3 linked regions of the Oryzias latipes genome follow. The protein of the gene in region 2 purifies or fractionates together with the protein of the main gene of each other region. This does not show direct contact. Links are inferred from orthologs where the notes say so. Each region holds a gene or a part of one and is shown on either strand. Other genes may lie near its edges. The genes, in order: keap1, otud1 and filamin-A.

The links.
Region 1: the proteins of otud1 (region 2) and keap1 purify together in Homo sapiens (affinity purification with western blotting; 3 studies listed by BioGRID, with this or other methods). This does not show direct contact. The link is inferred for Oryzias latipes from reciprocal best matches to the Homo sapiens genes OTUD1 and KEAP1.
Region 3: the proteins of otud1 (region 2) and filamin-A purify together in Homo sapiens (affinity purification with mass spectrometry; 3 studies listed by BioGRID and IntAct, with this or other methods). This does not show direct contact. The link is inferred for Oryzias latipes from reciprocal best matches to the Homo sapiens genes OTUD1 and FLNA.

The regions. Positions count from the first base shown.
Region 1 is NC_019859.2:10,400,883-10,405,088, reverse strand, and holds the start of keap1 (kelch-like ECH-associated protein 1), read right to left. Parts: upstream 2,918-4,206; 5' UTR 2,799-2,917; exon of another isoform or gene 2,795-2,798; intron 2,722-2,794; exon of another isoform or gene 2,704-2,721; intron 995-2,703; exon of another isoform or gene 936-994; intron 727-935; 5' UTR 1-726. UniProt on the Homo sapiens protein: Substrate-specific adapter of a BCR (BTB-CUL3-RBX1) E3 ubiquitin ligase complex that regulates the response to oxidative stress by targeting NFE2L2/NRF2 for ubiquitination.
Region 2 is NC_019878.2:19,217,501-19,221,842, reverse strand, and holds otud1 (OTU domain-containing protein 1), read left to right. Parts: upstream 1-1,479; 5' UTR 1,480-1,770; coding exon 1,771-3,045; 3' UTR 3,046-4,196; downstream 4,197-4,342. UniProt on the Homo sapiens protein: Deubiquitinating enzyme that specifically hydrolyzes 'Lys-63'-linked polyubiquitin to monoubiquitin.
Region 3 is NC_019865.2:4,648,953-4,652,601, reverse strand, and holds part of filamin-A, read right to left. Parts: intron 3,254-3,649; coding exon 3,084-3,253; intron 1,174-3,083; coding exon 1,056-1,173; intron 947-1,055; coding exon 834-946; intron 683-833; coding exon 533-682; intron 446-532; coding exon 127-445; intron 1-126. UniProt on the Homo sapiens protein: Promotes orthogonal branching of actin filaments and links actin filaments to membrane glycoproteins. Anchors various transmembrane proteins to the actin cytoskeleton and serves as a scaffold for a wide range of cytoplasmic signaling proteins.

The sequences.
Region 1 (4,206 bases), on a different chromosome or scaffold from region 2:
CAGTCTTTCCAGTTGTCACAGCGTCTCTGTTGTCCTTCCTAGTCTCTGCAAAAGTCTTATTTATGACCACATGAAGATGTCCTGGCTCTGTTTAGCACTCAAGCTGAGTCATGCTGCGAGTTATGACATTGAAAATAGCTTGAGAGATGCCAGTTCCAGCTGGGCACGCCGTTATACACTGGCCCTCCAGCATGCTGAATGGGAGTTAAAGATTGATGTTGCTGTAATTAAGTTTAAACTACAGAGTCGGGAATCAAAGGGATTTCTTTTAGATCAACTGCATTTGTCACAAAACTCTCTGTCTTTCCACACCTGCATGATACTGACAGAAGCCTGTTAAACATGCCTGTTTGTTGGAGGAATAAAAAGAAATATATGGCAGTAGCCAATTAAATCATGCTCTGAAAGTCTCTTATTAAATCTATGTTGGTCAGTTAAATTCCCTAAAGGAACCAACTCATCAGATGGATCAAAGCTAAACTATGACCGTTAAAAGTAAAACAAATGTTGAGATAAATGTGTAGGAATCCAACAGTTTGACTGCTTGTTGTTTGATAATCAAGAAGAGATCCAAAGGCGTCACTGGTGGGTCTGAGAGCTCTTTGAAACGGAGAAGGAAGAACTGAAGTCTATACTTGAAAAAAAAAAACTTCCTTAAGATTTTCCAGAGCTGGATATCGTTTGTTGTGCCGCTGCTTTCAAGCAGGCAGGGAATTTAGCCGACAGCTGAGGGGAGAAGGAGAGAAAAGGTTTGTGTTAGGAAGCCTCAGATAAATTCTGTGGTCACCACATGATCCCAGTTAAGAACCTTTTAACATGCCACTGTAAAGATATACTTTTTATACAGACGTGTACAACAAAAGTCTAAAAACACTAACATTAAAGATATAAAATAAAACAACATATTTGACTTTAAAAACACACTGCTAAAGTACCTTCAATTGGGCATAAATCCAGCTGACAAGTATTTACTCTTATCCTGTGACCAATCCAGCTGATAGTAAGAAGAACATAGAAAACACTAATTATTTTCAGTTAATCAAACCCATTGTTTTGTTTAATTATTACATGTCATGAAGATAGACATGAACATGAGAATTTTTCAGGCTTGGTGGGGCAAGAACATGACTGAAACATGGCAGAGATTGCTCTCCAGGCTGGTTTGGACAAAAGTACGTCAGCAAGGACAGAATGGGCACGGGTCCACGGGAGGACAACAACTCGACTATTGCATAATGTTAAAATGACAGAGGGGTGGAGGGTGCAACAAAGTGAATGCAGGCCAGTTTACTGTCATCACAACTTCTCCTTTACAGAACATGAAGCAACAGGGATATGAAAGACAAAGAGCAGACTGTGGCCAATTTGACTGGTGAACTCTGAATAGGAAGAGTCAGTCCGTCAGCAACAATCCTAACACGATTACTTATATAACCAACACACCATAGGTTGTATTGAGGGACGAGATAAAAAGACAAGTGTTTTACAGTTCGTAGAGTAGGAAAAAGACTATTTTGTTATCAAAAGTCATGTGTTTAAAGGCTGCTGTGGAGTCAGCCAGTGACACTTACAGTAACACGAAACACACTTTATGACACTGATTTGAAACTGCACTTTTCTTCCTCCTGGTGACTAACAAGGAAAACAGAACATTCCAGAACATATTGCTCAACATGCTATCGCTCACAAACAAGCAGCTAGCGTATCAGTCTGGTGAATGTGGCATTTCATCTCTTTGGTATTGAACTGAGAGGGTAAACTTATTTATTTAGCTGGTGTTCAGAGCATTTTGTTTTGGTTCAAATCTTTTTCCAAATGAGCAAGGAGCTCAAAAAGTGTAACATTTTCAATAACATAAACATTATTATGTCATTTTACTTTTTTCTCAAGATATTTATATTGCAAAAAAATGAGAGTTTGTGTTGCATTGTCATTTTTAGTAACAAAAAAGTTCAATAAACCCCTGCACCTCAATTTGGGAACCCCCATTTGAATCAACTTTATTTATAAAGCACCTTTCATACAAAAGGTGCAACTCCAAAAAACGGGCCTGCAATCAATAGCTGTCACTTTAAAAAAAAGCTGCAGAAAATCTGTGGAGACCACAACAACTTGGAGAGACTTTCACTTCTAGATTCGTCGCCAAACTTTGTGCGAAACAGCCAACGCGGAGGGGGCGAGGCCGAAGACAAGCAAAGAGCGTCCAACGTGTTTTGTTGGCATTCGTGGTGGAGGAGGAGAGCTTCCCTCGTTGGTGACTCATTGCGAGCTATTCGCCAAGCCAGAAAGAGTGGAACTGAATGTACCAAAACGCGACCCAGAAGTGGAGCTGGTTCTTATGTAAGCCCGGGGATGGAATTAGATTTCCATCCCGTGCACCTTTCCTAGAAGAACTTTCACACAACGCGAAGTTTAGCTTTCACTCCACACTGACTAAGGTCATCATCTACACTTACTACAAGCTTGTTTTCGGCTGAAACTGCCACAGAGCTGGCATGCAACAGCAAAAACACAGATGAAGGTGGACCAAACTGAGGTCTAAAAAGATAAAAAATTCCGCGGTCTCATTGATTGGAAGAAAACACCGAGGTGGAGGTAACGCTATCGGCAGCAGCAAAATAAGCCCCTAAAATAGACAGTGGAGTAACGTCTGAGAACTGATAGCTACAAACATGCTAACAAAGAGTAAGTACTCAGTCTTACCGCCCAAAAAACCTACTTTCCGTTCAACCGAACTGACAAAACCGTACTGATGGACATTTTAAAATTTAACTGTAAAGTAAAGGCAACTCACGTACTCTCTTATTTCCAACGTTTTCTGCCGAGCTGTGCGCCACATAGGAAGGAGGAGGGGAGGCTGTAACTCACCGTGACTAAGCATTGTACTAGTCAACTGGCCTTCACAATAAAAGCATGCTTCCTGAACGTCGGGACCGCCTCCATTGACGAGCAATGAGTCGTGTTTGCGTCAGGGGGTGGTAGGCTTTTATTGGGAAAGGAGTCTCAGAATTAAAAAAAAACAAAAAAAGAAAACCAGGCCAAAAGGTTAACTTTGAGTTAAAATTGTGACTTATTGCTTAACAAAACTGTTACAACCATTACAGTTATACTTTACTCATATGTTTATCCTCTTAAATAAGCATTGCATCTACACAAGAACAATTCAATCTTATAATAAGAACATACATATGTCACTCATACTCAGAAATCTCTGAACCAATCTACATTAAAAGAAAACATGATGCAGCTCTCTCGCAATCATCTTATCTAACAATTATTTTTTATCAGAAAAAAAATCTGCCTTGCTTCAGATGGGACCAAAACACATTTTGGCTTGTGCTGACACACCAAGTTTTTTCACTCCTGCAAACTGTGAAATCCGGGTCAATAGGGTAGTAGCCTACATAGCAGCCTTGTTTTTAAAAGAAATCACAAGGTGGCAGTAAAAGCCAACAGTTACAGCTGCAAAGGTCAAGCCTCTGTTGAGTCATGTCAGTAAGCTCATTTGTCAGCAGAGATAAAAACAACCGTCTTATAGATTATTTCTGCACACGTGTTCAAGTGTGGGAAAGAAAGCCTGACTGCTGTCTGCAGGAGTATTGCAAAAACCTGCAATCAGCATCTGGGAAAATTTCGATATTGTTAAAGAATCAAACGACAAACAAAACCAGAGCAATGAAACCAAGTCTTTTGTTAACCCACTGATAAACTGTGCTTTGCTGAGACAATAAGAGCGGGATGCATGTGAGTCAATGTCTCCTCCAGATGTGTTTTCAGACCACATAAATCACACACAACAAAATGCAAAAAGAGTGATGGTTCGCCTAAGAAAATATTTTATTATTTGAATGAAAAGGAAGGTAACAAAATACAATTCACATTACAAGTGTTATAAAAAAACATATTTTTCAGTAATGAAAAATTTGTCGCTACATTAAGTTCAGCACAAAATAGAAAACTGTCACATTCATCCACTTCGACTGTATTTCAGCCGCAGATATCTCAAGAAAAATGGAAACGTTTGTGATGATTGACAGAAAGAAGTATTGTAGTTACAGCCCTGAAGTTTTCTTGAATTCCCATAAAATAAGTTACAAGTGCAGATAAATTCTTATCCTTTAAACACCCGCCGCAGCTAATAAATGAAACTTTATTCACAAGATAAAAATTCCGAACTGTGTTTTCATAACTGAGTGGTTTCAGTCA
Region 2 (4,342 bases):
GCTGCTGGAGCGTCGTGCCTCTCTGCAGGCGTTTGTTCCAAACAAGCTTTCGGTTCCACAACTACAGAGAAATGTCGCCACTTAGCGGTTGTTTATGGTAAAACATTTCATTAAAACATTATGTCGTCGGACTCCCTCTGGTGGTCAAAACGCGAACGTGTAATTGTTGGAACAATGATAATGAAAATGTAAAAATATTTTTTTTGGGTTAATGGTAAAATAATGGGCACCATAAGCTCAGTATTTTAATATTTTTGTTCTCTTTTTTTTCCCTCAATGACAACAGATATTGTTGAATAATTTAATTAATTTCTCCATGTTGTGTAACCAATGTTTCCAGAATGTTCTTCCTGAAAAGATTGGATTACTTTTCAGCTGTGGGTTTAACTGACGCCAGTCGGATGTCTATTCCAAGCACGCAGATTGAGTTCCACAATCCACAAGCTCTGACAGTGTAAGTGTTTAAAAAAAGCTTCAGGAGCATATCTAAGCATTGACATGTCTGCCAATAATGTCCAATGGACATATTCACATGCACCAAATACTTTCAGCTCACAAACAAATTATGCTTTTACATGGTATTTTAAGGTTTGTTTGGATAAAAATTGACATTTTTATTGATATAAGAAAAAATACTTTTATTTTGCTTCTTTTAATGTATCAAAAGGTTGTGTTTTTCCATTCATAAGGCATCAATAATAAAAATTCATGAATTAAAATAAAAACAAATGACAAAAAAAATGTAAAACTTGTCTCAAAAAAGATAGATACAAAAAGACAGATACAAACAAGGCTTTTTAATTTAAAAATAGTTTTCTTTTTTTCTGTAACCCATTTTCAAATTAACTTGAGGTTCTGCGGGATTACAATTTTCCCTTATTAATGTTTTATTTAAAATGTTAAAAATAGATTTTTATTTTGTCATATAAAACTTTGCAAACCTATAAAACACCATTATTGTGAATTTTAGCTATAGATTTTTAATCATGAAAATGATTTTTGATGTTAAGTGTTAGGTAGCCAAATATACCATAACTTTGGGTTTAATTGAAAACGTTATAAGTACTAGGTTAGTAGTTAAGTTGGAATGTTAGAATCTGAAGGTTAAAAAATATACGAACTTAACTTTTTTCAAGTCTTTAGTTATTTATTTTTCTCCACTTACACAGTTAATAACATTTTCAACAACACGAGTTAGTCTGGACAATATAGGATGGTTAAGAAATGATTTTTTTTTTATTCCCGAAAACTCTTGTAACATTTTTATAATTTCTTTAACTTAAGATTTGTTTAAAATCATTCACAAAAATAGCATGAAATTAATAACAGCTATAAAAACAATCTACATAATATATTACAAAAATAATAATAAAAGTAAATGCAAATTAATAATTTGTGATTATAATCTGAGACAAATAAAATTAAAACATCCAAAAAACATTAAACGACGATGAGGGGTTTTATTTTGAAGTTTCCCAAACGGAACTGGTATTTTGTCCTCCGGGATTTGACGGGCTTTTACACTGAAGGGGTTTGGTTACAAACAGTGAAGCCTAAAATTAGGGAGGCACCCCAACAGCAGATGACGCCACACAGCTAAAGTGGACCTTGTCGTCGTCGTTGCGTGTCCCCGATAACAGGACTCGGGGCCATGGAAACGTTCCCCGCGAGTTTCCCGCTGTTGATGACTCCGGGGGTATTTTTAGCGCTCGTTGTCATCTTTTCGTAACTGCCCCGGCGGCGGTGTTCAGTATAAAGGACCGTTGGAAAATGCAGCTGTACAACAGCGCGCTCACACACTACCCGAAGTCGTCGCGGAAAGTTACAATAACTCTGTCTGCAGCCCCCGAGCGCCTGAACGGGACGCCGCGAACTTCCTCCGAGGTCGACTTTGCCCAACTTGACACAACTTCGTCAACTCACGCCGCTCCGCCCGCGGAGACTTCTGGAAACATGCCCGCCTTTTCGTGCTACGAGGCTGCTTCTACCAGGAGGCCGCTTTACTTCACCTCCACCGCCGAGATATTAATCCGCCGACCCGACGGAGTGCAAAGGCCGGTTCCCATTCACATCATCCGACAGCCCAAACCCCCCTCAGGCCGCCCCCACAAGCCCTGCAGTGACCCCGACCAGGAGACCATGGTGGACTGGACAAACCATCAGACTGAGGAGGCAGGCTGCACAGAACTGCCAGGAGGATCTGCTTTTAAGAGGAAGAAAACCACTCAATCCACAGTGGAATGTAAGGAGGAGGATTCTGGACCTTATAGGAGCAACGGATGGGCGTCATTCCATGAAGAGGAACTGGCCCCCTCAATGGTTGCCATGACGAAGAACTTCAGAACAGAGGATCTATTTGACATGAACAGTATGGAAAGTACACCACCATCAGGGCAGAACCAGACTCTGAAGCTCAGTGTCCTGCAGGAGTCGCCTCCGCAGGGGTCCCAGCAGAGAGACCACAAAGTCAGCCGGTACCTGGCTGAGGTGGAGAAGCAGAACAAGTACCTCCAGGAGAGGAACCAATACAGGTACCACATCATTCCAGATGGCAACTGCCTGTACAGAGCTGTGTGCAAAGCCACGTACGGGGACCAGACCAGGCACGGCGAGCTGCGGGAGCAGACGGTGCACCACATCGCCGACCACCTGGACGAGTTCAACCCCATCATCGAAGGCGACGTGGGAGAGTTCCTGATCAATGCGGCGCAGGACGGAGCCTGGGCCGGCTACCCGGAGCTCCTCGCCATGAGCCAGATGCTGAACGTCAACATCCACCTCACGACGGGCGGCAGCTCAGAGAGTCCCACCGTCTCCACCATGGTGCACTACCTCGGCGAGGAGGACGCCTCCAAACCAGCCATCTGGTTAAGCTGGCTCAGCAACGGCCACTACGATGTGGTCCTGGGCCGATGTCTTCCCAACCCAGAGTACGAAGACTGGTGCCGGCGCTCACAGATGCAGCGGAAACGAGACGAGGAGCTGGCAAAGTCCATGGCGGCCTCACTATCGAAGATGTACATAGAGCAGAATGGCTGCGTGTGAGGCCACAGTCTGTTCCTGATGGATGCTGTGGACTCTGCTTGGTTGCTTTAAATTATTATTCTTTTGTAAGTTTTCTAAGTTTGTCAGAAAAAAAGTGCAGTGCACATCGCAGACCATCTTTATTAGCACTTGTCAACTATTTTTCCATTTCTTTGTGTTTGTCTTTTTCCAAGTGGCACATAGCTGTATTATAGCTGCTCTCTTTTGCACAAAAGTCCTGTCAGACTCGTTTGGGAGAGTTGTATTTTGTGCTGCTTTCTTGTCATTTATTCCAAATGTTTGGATTGTTTTCTTTTTATTTTAAATGAAGTTTGTTGGGGAAAAAAACATGTTTTTATTTTATAAGATTGTTTTAACAGTTTTATTTGATTGTTTCCATAAAACTGTCATTCAGCATCGATGATCATGTCTTTTTAGTCGCACAACACTAATCTTATACAAACCCTCCCTTTAAAGTGCAGCATGGTGGGAAGAGATAAGAGATGCACGCTGCACTCTGATGCTTTGAAAGGTTAAAAGTTATGTTCTAGCTTGATTAGCTGGTGTCTTTTCTCAACTTGTGTAACATAGTTTCTTCAGAGCGGCAGGAGTTCAATAGAAATCTGCCTCTGAGTTGTGTGGCAGCATTTCCCATCATCCCTTTGTTTACACGCTCTCACAATAGCTTACAGTCCCAACCTATTATTTACCGATGCAACAAAAATGGCGAGCAATACTGGAGCTATCCGGCCTTACAGTTTGAGCCATATGCCTGCTCAGATGAAGAAAATGAAGACATACGTGGATCTCCTAATCTGCAAGTGAATCCATCAGATTGGACAACATATTTTCTACATCACAAACACGCTCTCTTTATAACAGAATTCTTTGTGTGTTCCTGATTTACAACAATAAAGAATAAAATTTATTCTAAAGAATAAAGAAATACTCAGAAATACCCATTTTAACTAAGTTTTTCTTTACAAATGTGCTCCCATCATCAAAAAAGGGCAAAAGAACATGTTAAAAAAACTGTTTTAATCAGAGTAGGTCTTTAAAATGGGAAAAAAAGTTTTAAAGACAAAATTTTCTGCAGAGTATTCAGTTACACTGTCACCCTGTTTATCCATGTTTTCCTAGATTCTTTGTTGCATTAAAGTAATGTACCATTCATTCAAAATGTGTTTTGTTTCCCTGTGGCAGATGACAACCTCACCGTGTTCCCATTCCATCCACTAGATGGCAGTGTAGGCTCCTCACATCTCACCACACAGATGTTTTTTATTTGATACAAATTAGGACGGAAATTAAAGGACTT
Region 3 (3,649 bases), on a different chromosome or scaffold from region 2:
AGCATAATGAAAGGACCCCTGGGAACTCTTTGAAAATACATCAAATGGTAATCTGAGTGATACTTTAAATTTGGAAATGAAATCAGTTTCACTTTAAAACCAACATTGAATCCGAACGAGTTTTACCTTTCCCCTCCACCCCCGGTCCAAACACGTGGACCCCGCTGGTGTCGACTGCAGGCTCAACACTTAGCTGAGCGGGGAAGTTGGGCACATCCTGGCCACCGTAGCGGATGGTGAGCGTGTAGCAGCCAGGGTACAATGGGATGTACGTGATGGTGTAGGTCCCATCTCCATTGTCCTGAATGTGAACCTCTGCCTCAGTGCCACCATCCGAAATGATCTCGATGGTTAGCTCTGCTGGACCGGCATTGGTGCAGTCCACGACAAACTCCCCCGTCTCTCCAACTCTGCCACGCTCCAAGCCTGGGCCGGAGCAGCGCACCTAAGGGGGTCAGGCAAAAGAGTCACAGCTGAAGTCAACCCAGCAGATTTATGTGCGAACACAGCAGTTCTATAAACTGAGGCCAACCTTGGAGGGGTCCGACGCAGGGTAAGCTGTGGGGGTGAATGGTGATCCAGGGATCGGCACGCCATCGTAGGTCAGTTCGACCTGGTACGGCCCCACTTCCCGGGGAATGAACTTCACCTGGCTGGTCTCTGGGCTTAGCCCCATTTCAACCTGAAACAAAATAAGGACACAGGGAATTAAAATTAAACACTCATGGTCAGGATTACCTGGACCGCAGGTTTTTGGTGCATTTTATCCGTAACCGGATCTCATGATTGGCTTTACACCACCATGAAAAAGTCTGACTGAAGCAAAGACCGACCTTGCTGGCCACGGGCTTCCCAGATGGTCCTGTCACCTTTGCAGCAACCTTTCCCTGACCGCCGGCGCCCTTTGATTTGACAGTCACTTCCTGGTCTTTGCCAACAGTCATCTCTACAATTCAATTACAGTAAATATCGATAAATGATGAAGCACAACCCTAAAGTTAGAACCTATAAATCCAATTTGTGAGATTAACGATCAATAAAAGTGAAGCCCATACTGTCTCCAAGGCCGGTCACATTGATCTTGCTGAGGTCCAGGGAGGGCGCTACAGGAACGCTGAAGGGACTCTTGGGAATGGGATCTTTACCGTAGGTCACACCAACAGTTAGAGGTCCCTGATGGAAATGAAGCAGCGCAAGAACTTAACACAGCAAATGGATAATTATTTTAATGAAACAAGAAATATACAGTTAATAGTGTTTTTTAAAACTATTTTCTGGTCACCGTGGAAACATTTGTTTCTATAAAATCCAAATCTTAAGCTTAGCTTGAAAATCCTCCCTTGTAAAAGATTCAGCAGCTACTAAAGGTTTATTTCCTGATGTTAAATAATCTATACAAAACATTCACAAAACAAATATTTGACTATTTGTCACATATTTAATATGATGGAATGCTTTCCTGAGCTTTGCAGAATGAAACTGTTTTACATTCCAAAACTGAAAAACAATATTGTTGATATTTATATTTTCTTTTATAGACAAGATTATGCATTTTCAGCAATGATAAACTGCATAAACAGGAGTCCTATGTTTGTAAAAAGGGATTAGAATACACAAATGAGATTTATAATGTCCAGTGACTTTAAGCAAAATAAGAAAAAAAGAAAAAAAGAGGAAAAAGTTTACAAAGGGGTTATCAATGCCGTCTATGGAGAATAAATGAGCTACAATAGTACAGTGTTTTTCAACCAGTGTGCCGCGGCACACTAGTGCGCCGTGGGAGATGGTCAAGTGCGCCGTGGGAAATTGCCCTCATTCACTGATCTAAAAACATTTTTCATCTCCAAGAAATCAGCTCTCTGTGTATCCCAACAAGCCCTGATAAAACACTGAGTAGTAAGGAATATAAAAGATCTTAAAATTACTTTTTCTTTGTGTTTATTTAATTCTATTAAAGACATTTTGATAAGAATGACGGTGCCGCGATTTAGCTGCAGCTATAACTGTGTAAGGAAAAGTCCCGCCCCTTTAACTGTCTCCACCAATCATTCTTGAAGGCTTAATCACATGTCATCAGTCTGACCAATCAGAAGTGGTTAAAGTCCTCACTTCCTTGCTCTTAATTCTGCTGATAAAGTCGCTCAGTTCTAACAAAAATACCAGCTAAAGCTCGTCATTAGCTGGTGGTTCATCTCTTAGAAAAAAACAGCCGCAATTTCCTGCTTTTTCTGCCACAATTATCACAAAAATCCACGTGAGATTGCGGGGGGGGGGGAGCTGTCGATCAATACAGACCATGAATTTCTGCTTTTTTTTTTTTTTTGGGATGCTGGTGTGCCGCGGGATTTTTGTCAGGGATAAAGTGTGCCGTGGCTCAAAAAAGGTTGAAAAACACTGCAATAGTAGAAAAATATACCAGAAGTGTTAAATAAAATCCATTTATGCTAAATTTGGTCAGATTTGTTTTGTGGAGTTATAACTGATTAGACATTTTTTCTCCAACCGGATAAATCCAAACCAAATCAGCCATCTTGTAATTTTTTTTTCTTCTTTTTTTTTTTTAACATGCCACCAAGAGTGACTGCAGTCGTTTTATCTCCCTCTTCCAAAGCCTTGAAGCAAAGAGGAATTTGAGTGTTGAAAACTGGCCCAGACATTCTTTCCAAATGTCTTTAAACCTGGGAAACTATGATAATGATTGGCGACCATCAAGTCACTTCGTCTCCATCAGGGCCTATAATCTTTATATTGCTCTTGATGTGATGTTTTAAAATCATCTTATTTTGTTTTTCATCCTTAGCATTGTTCCCCAAATTATTTTTATGTTACAAATAGGACCAACGCAACTTCCCAACTCTCTGCATGTTTAACAACGGCAATTTGTGTCTTCCTGGATCTGGTTTGTTTATAAACAGGAAACAAGTGTGTGCTTTTGCAGCTGATTTTAATCAGTTAATTATCTCCTCACCAAGTCCAATGGACTTCTCAGAGATGAGTGGGGTTTCCAATTGGAAGATTTTTTTTTTCTAAAACAAAAATGCGAATGAGTTTGATCTGCAAATCGGATGCGCCTCTCAGCCTACCTGCTGCACGGGGGTGTATTTGACCGTGTGCGTGTTGTCCCGGTTGTTGATGATTTCAAAGTCTTTAACAGCATCCCTTTTGTTGGGACCGGTGAAGATGCAGTCCACGTTAGCTTTGCCTGCTCCTTTGGTGTTCACAGTGAAGTAGGTGGGTTTGTTCAGTTCCACACCTGAAAGCAGAAATAATGCAGGAAAAAAAAAAGAACATTTACTTTTAAAAATGGCTTAATTTGCCCTAATTTTATGACAGCAAGTGATTTAACTTGAAAAAGCCAAACTACAGAAGAGTTCTGGTAGATTTTAAAGGACTATTGATAAGCAGTTAGAACTGTACTGCGGTTTTTGGTTGTGAAAAATAGAGCGGGTGATTGTGACGCAACTCATAGAAAATGCCTTCCATCTGCCTCAGACTAAATGAATTCAAGTCAGTTGCCATTTTTTCGTGATAAGGATGCCGCCATGTTGGAGTCAGACATCGTCAGTAACCAGTGGTTGGTCCAAGCCTGAGTTTCTATGGCAACCACTCTCGTCAGTCAGGAGTGAGCTTGTTGGAAGTTCACACCCCT